2 linked regions of the Oryzias latipes genome follow. The protein of the gene in region 2 purifies or fractionates together with the protein of the main gene of each other region. This does not show direct contact. Links are inferred from orthologs where the notes say so. Each region holds a gene or a part of one and is shown on either strand. Other genes may lie near its edges.

Region 1 (3,248 bases), on a different chromosome or scaffold from region 2:
GTTGATAACGTGATCTGTCAAAGAGTGTTATTTAGGTGTCACCGGTGACGTTTGGTGGTAAAGGGTTAACAACTGCAGTTTTTAAAGAAAAGGTCCTGAGTACCATCAAATAATTTAAGAGAAAATATTTGGCAAAGTGTACAAATAGCAAATTGTTTGCAGTTATTTGTCTTCAATGTTTTAACTCTAGTTTCCATAAATGTTTATACTCTTTTTTTTTTTTTTTTTTTTTTTTTTTTTTTTTTTTTTTTTTTTGGTACAAAGCGTAAAAAATGGCCAAACCCGTTTTAGTAACAAAGGGCTTCTTCCAACTTCCCAGGGAATCCAACCGCCCAACAGCCCATCCGTCCAGCCTTCATGGACTACTTTGACAAGCAGGACTCCAACAAGGCAACCCAACAGCAAGAGAACTACAACCACAACCAGCTGCAGGAGCCGTCCGGCTACCACATCCAATCCAAAAACGTCTTTCCAGACAACTGGAAAGTTCCTCAGGATGGAGACTTTGACTTTGTGAGTTTCTCAGGTGTATTATTCCCCATTAAAAAAAACCTCATAAATATCGGGCTCCATGATTTTAAAAGGGCACAACAAGTCAAGTGTTCTTACAGTTTATTGCTGTTTTTTTGTTTTGTTTTTTTGGTCAACCAGTTGAAGAACCTGGACTTTGAAGAGCTGCAGCTGCGCCTGAGTGCCTTAGATCCCATGATGGAGCGAGAGATTGAGGAGCTGAGACAGCGCTACACTGCCAAACGCCAGCCTATCTTGGATGCAATGGATGCTAAAAAGAGAAGACAGCAGAACTTCTGAGGGTTTCTGGCCGTCGTGTGTTCCAAACCAGCATGAAACTTTAGATCCAGCGACAGTGGAGTCGAACTCCCTCTGCTGTCCAGACTAAATGCTAACTTGTCTTTGAATGAAGTTGGGATTCTTTCTGTCCATTTAGTTAACGAATTTCCCTTTCAGCAGGCGGATGTAGTTTGGAAAAAAGACAATTGTGTTCTGTGGAGCTGATTCTGGCTGAAAAGAGAAGTAACTCTAGGCCTCTTGACACCCGAGAGTCTTGAACAGAACTTCCTGTTTTCAGTTGCATGCCTAGTACAAAATGAAGTGATCCACTTATATGTCTATTTGATTTGTCAAATGTAAATATAGAGCCTTGCTTAAACGAACCTGCATTTAAAGCTGTGGAGCTTCGTCCATGACCAAAGATGAAACAAAATGAGGAAGCTGATAAAGCCTTAACATTTTTAAATTGAATCTGTCTTTAGTTTCACCAATTTGCTCTCTTGTAGATAAGTGGGAAGAAAACTGCTGAAGCAGCAAATCTTTATTAGGATGAACACAAATATAGAAGAATCATAAAAGTTTTTTTTGTTTTTGTTTTTTTTAGGTCTGAAAAAGACACCAAGTATGTCAGTGCCTCTTGAACCACTTTTCCCAGGTTACTATCAATCTTTAAAGTGACAACTTTAAAGACATGAAAATGAGAAGCAATGGTATGTACTATAGTTTCTAGGTAATCACATGATGGGATGATTTCAGTGTCATGTTTGAGCTTTTTCCTGTTGTGGGACTGGATCCTTCACATCAGGGCTGCTCAGCTGTGTTTCTAGACATCTACCACGAATTCTTCTCTATTCACTGCTGACTACCTGCGTTGAGGATTTGCAGGTTCTGATTGGCTGGATTCACCTGATCCAGATAATTGACAGTGGACACGAGCAGAGCCGTGGATCTCAAAGACCTGGATTGTTCAACCCTCCTTTACTTCAATAATGGGTTCAATGACCTAAACAGAGCTGTAGCAACGGTTCTATTACTGTGGTCGTAAACAAACAGGATACGAAAAAAAACATTGCTTTTGTTTTTATTTCTTTTTTTTTTTTTTCAGGATAACTTTAGATTTCAACAATAATACACAAGTGTGTTCTCGACTTGATGTGTTATCCATTGACTGAATTCCTGCTATGTATGTCTTGTGTGCTTTTAAATACATCTCTTATAACCTGAAAACTATATAGCTTTTTATTTGCTTCCTAGGAATTGTCAGGTAAGTTTATTTGAAGATTACATTTCTAATGACCAAGTAGACATTGGAAAGGCTTCATACAGACAACCTGGCGTGTGACTATTTTCATATCACGGAGCCATTGACCCATTCATTTTCACAGAAAATGCTTTCTAGTGTCTAATATTAAGGAATTATTTAATCTAATTTATGCTTTTTTTTATTCAAATCATAACTCGATTGAATGCACAGCATATCTGTCGTTTGTTGTTCCACATGAATGTGATGTGACTGTTTTTGAACTGTTACACGTCTCTCTGGCTTTCTGAAGCGGCTGTTTATGTACACAACCAATGCTGTAAAATAACCCCGTGTTCTTCGTTTTCATGACATAGAATACGACTACATTGGATTTGAAGTCTACTCACTATGTTTAGAGTGAAAGCATGTTGTACAGAAAGCATAGTAAGAAGTACTGCAATTACATTTTGTTTTTCTAATTAAAGGTTTGCTCCAAAATATTAAAAAAAGAAAATGATGTCCTAAAGTTTTGGCTGGGACGTACTGTTTAAAATTACTTTTTTTTTATTACCAAGCTTTATTAACGTTGTCATTTTCCTTTTGTGCTGATATAGGGGTGTAGAGCCTATGAAGAATTTACATTTCAACTGCTTATTTATTATATTTTGTTTGCAATAGCTTTATGATGTAATAAAAGTTAAAAAAAAAGTTTATGAAGAACTGTTTACTGAATTTAGGTTTTATACATTTTTTCAATTCTAATCAACATATTTGATACAGCCCAGTTTTCTTTTCTTTTTTAATGTAGATAAATCTGCAATAATTTAATTACAAAAAATCTATATTTACTTATGAAAGTTGCTATCTTTTGGAAATATAACATCTGAACATGGCTGCCTTTCTACAACAGAAATTAAACACATCAGCAATTTTTTCCCATGTCTGCAAAAGGTCCATATTTGAAGTGATTTTCCTCCTCTGTCCAGCTCATCTCAAACCATGGCTACTCCAGGTTTAATATCTTGTTTTTTCTTCTTCAGGTTATTAGAGATTAGTTCGGATTAGTGTTTTAGATCAATATTTTTCTATAGGATGAATCAAATTTCCCTGCAAATGCCCCATCAAACATGCAGCTTTAGGTCTCCTCTTGATTTGGGCTGACTGGTTACTACAACTTTTAAACTGTGCTTGAAGCAGTGATCCATGTGACGCCTAT
Region 2 (3,522 bases):
GAGTCAGCTACAGGCCTACTCCAAGGTAAAGTCACCTTCTCAGGTTCTCCTCTGTAAAAAGGTGAGGCACAGAAGTTCTCATTCATGTCTGGAACTCCTGCAGTCCCAGACGGAGGAGGGGATGCGGAAAGAGCTTTTGGCTCTTCAGGAGGACAAACACAACTATGAGACGACGGCCAAGGAGTCTCTGAGGAGAGTCCTGCAGGAGAAGATCGAGGTGGTCAGGAAGCTCTCCGAAGTGGAGGTGGGACCCTTTGAGGAGTTGTTTGTCCCTTCAGGCTGATGGATTCAGTACCGGTGAACCCAACGCGTGATCTCCTCTGCAGCGCTCGCTCAGCAACACGGAAGATGAGTGCACCCACCTGAAGGAGATGTCTGAGAGGGGTCAGGAGGAGCTGAGGGAGCTCGCCAATAAGTACAACGCCGCTGTCAACGAAATAAAAGAGCTCACCGACAAAATCAAGGTGAGGCCTTGTGCGTTTACTCTGAAAGGTTCGATTCCCGCCCCTCTACATTTGTGCAGTAACACCCGATCGTCTTCTTTCCTTTAGGTGGCGGAGGGCCGGCAGGAGGAGCTGACCCAACGAGGAGAGACGGAGAAGAGGGAGCTGGAAATGAAGATAGAGGAGATGGAGGAGAAGGAGCAGGTTCTCCAGGCTCGCATCGAAGCTCTGCAGGCAGACAACGACTTCACCAACGAGAGACTTGCTGCTCTTCAGGGTACGTCTGGGTCACGTCTAAACGCCGTTTGCTCCCTGAAGCCTTCCACTGCTGCTTCATTGCATATAAACGGAGGACCGAGCCGACGCCTTTGTTCGGTTCCACCTCAGCTGTCGGTTCCTCGCAGAAGGCCGACTGGAGCTGCTGCAGGTCCAGCTGAACGTTCTCTTTCTGCTGTTGTTGTTGTTGTTGTTTACAGCGCGGTTAGAGCAGCTGCAGGAGAAAAGCGGTAAAGAAAACAACAGTCTGGGTGAGTCCACGTCCCGCTGGTCCGCTCTGGGACTGCTGTGTCTGTGGGGTTAATCAGCCTGAGCTGCACTAACGATGCATGAAACGTCCTGCATGGTCTGTCTGTGCACTTCCTGCTGTCGCTCTTTTCTCCTCGTTGAGTTTTTTTTATGATCTTTCAGTGGTTGACTCATTCACACAACATTGTATTGTTGTCCATAAACGCAAAAAGATTTTTTTCCATTTTAATTACCTAATTAACTTGTAGTTTAAGGCGGAAATGTCACACAATGTGAATCCAGCTGAGGGAAAGTTTATCTATTTCCTCCTGAATGACCTGCATCAGAAATACCTGCACTAGAGCTGCTGCTGACGGTGAAGCGACCCAACAGTTTCCACTCTATATTATCTAATTTAGATGTTTTATGTACTTAGTTTAATTCATTTAATCGTTGGTCTATTAGCGTTACACTTAAACCTCCTGTTGTGACAAACTGATGTTTGTTTCTGTCTCAATTACAAAGGCAGTAACTGAACCATTGTATTTTATAAAATGCTGACGTCACCTTAAATATGACAAACTGGAATAGATTCAAAGTGTAACAATTGTTTGTTTTTCCTTTCAAAATGGGTCAATTTACCCAAAGCATAAGAGATTTTATAGTTTTCTCTTTAACTTTGTTCTTCTGGCTCTGGGTGTTGTGACAGAAGTCTTAAAGCAATAAAGTCCATAAAAACATCAAAAATCCTTTAATTTTACATTTAAAAGAGTAAAAATGTCCTCTGTGCTCCAGAAAAACGGACGTAAACACAGAAAATGATCACTCCTGAGGTGGATTTCATTCCTTCATGAGTTCCTGCTTCGTGTTCCTGTCTGTTAGAATGACTGTGGGTTCTCTGTGGAACGCCCAGTCGCATCGCTATGCGCTATGCTAGGATGCTAGGATGCTAGCTGCAGGTCCTGGTTCTGACCTGGACCCGTCTGGTTTCATAAGGAGCTGGTGTGTTTTTCTGGGCTTTGTTCTGGCGGTTCTGTCAGGTGAATTTTGGGCTTCTTGGTTAATTCAGAGCTTTTCCAAACCGATCACTGCTTTGGTTCCTTTTTCCGGGGGGAGGAGCTTGAGGACACTGATTTCTGCACTAAAGGAGTCCTGAAGGTCTCGCTCTTCTTCATCAACGGGCTTCACAGTCTGTCTTCTGCATGTCTGGCTGATGAAGGTTCCATGTGTATATCTGATCTGGTCACATGACAGAGGTGGCCCTCGTCCCTCCCGGAGCTGCAGGGGAGCCCGTGGAAGACCTAGCGGACGAAGACCACGATGAGCCGGATACAGACACCGAGGAGGGGGCAGTTCACGAAGATGAAGATGTTATTGGTAGTCTATCTCAACTGTTTCCTTAATTTCTTCTTCCCAAAGACAGACGATCAAATGTTTGTTCGATGCAGAGCTGAAACCTCAGAACGCGTCTGGCCTGAGACCAGGTCTTCCTCGATCAGGACATGTGCAAGAACTGAAATGCTGGATCCAGATCCATCTGGGAGCCACTTTTCTGGTCCGTCTGAGGAGCACGTCTCCAGATAACTGGTCTGCAGCGCTGTGGCCTGCTTCACGCATCAGTGTCCCACGTTCTGAGCTGTCTCTGGTGAAATGAGACGTAAACGCAGCGTCTCGACTGGAAACTCTGTGTGTGTGTGGCTGAACCTGCTTTCAGCCGCCTCACACACTCGCGATGCGGTCTGCGCCGCTGCAGCCGCTGCAGTCTCCTCACATGCGTCCTGGAGGAGAGTTCACTGATGTTTCTTCAGGTTCAAACCAATGTTGGAAAGGGAGAGCGGGTTTGTAGATGTTTCTCTACACCATGAACCGACCTCTGACCCGAGAAGGTTTGGTGTCTTCTCTCCGCCGCTGTCGAGTCTCATCCGTCTGTTGTTGATCTTTAGATCAGCTTGAATGAAACCTCGTAATTGTCCTTCGTCCGATGCTGGTTTAAAACTTTGTGCTGCGGCATCTTTGAAGGTTTGGTCCAAAATCTTTACAAATGTGGATCGCTCGTTTTCTGAGCATCATCTGCTGCAGTTTGTTGTTCGGTCAGTTTCCATCTCAAGGTTTAGGAGAACACCAACGGCTCCTTCAGCTCCTGGGTTTTTCCATTTCAGCTTTCACATCAATCTAGTCCTGCTTTGGAATGAAGTCCATGTTGGGTCTCAGTTTCTTCTCGGGTTAGGAGCTTTACTCTCTCACAGTTGTCATTTCTAACCCGTTTTATTGTGCCGTCTGCAACATCATCTTCCCGTCAGCATCTTCCGTTCACTCATTGGGTGCAGCAGCTCTGAGATCTGGTGCAGTTTGAGTTTCCTTCGGCTCTGATGTTGTTCCGTCTCCATCTTGCTGCTGTTTCTCACCTGCTGATGCTTGGTGGGGTGTTGCATAGCAGCGTGTTTGACTCCATCCTTCACCTGTCCTGTTGTTCTGGTCTGTGACACGTCTGCCTGCTTCCTCTGTGTCCGTCTCAGGCCTTCCCTGCCGTCTTCTTACCGGACGTTAAGTTAGGAGCAAACGCAGCTTTTTGATT

What was found.
Region 1: the proteins of slmap (region 2) and serine/threonine-protein kinase 3 purify together in Homo sapiens (affinity purification with western blotting; 3 studies listed by BioGRID and IntAct, with this or other methods). This does not show direct contact. The link is inferred for Oryzias latipes from reciprocal best matches to the Homo sapiens genes SLMAP and STK3.

The regions. Positions count from the first base shown.
Region 1 is NC_019869.2:24,043,240-24,046,487, reverse strand, and holds the end of serine/threonine-protein kinase 3, read left to right. Parts: intron 1-319; coding exon 320-513; intron 514-651; coding exon 652-810; 3' UTR 811-2,740; downstream 2,741-3,248. UniProt on the Homo sapiens protein: Stress-activated, pro-apoptotic kinase which, following caspase-cleavage, enters the nucleus and induces chromatin condensation followed by internucleosomal DNA fragmentation.
Region 2 is NC_019863.2:32,508,831-32,512,352, reverse strand, and holds part of slmap (sarcolemmal membrane-associated protein), read left to right. Parts: coding exon 1-25; intron 26-103; coding exon 104-244; intron 245-326; coding exon 327-464; intron 465-551; coding exon 552-720; intron 721-919; coding exon 920-970; intron 971-2,201; coding exon 2,202-2,324; intron 2,325-3,522. UniProt on the Homo sapiens protein: Associates with the striatin-interacting phosphatase and kinase (STRIPAK) core complex, forming the extended (SIKE1:SLMAP)STRIPAK complex.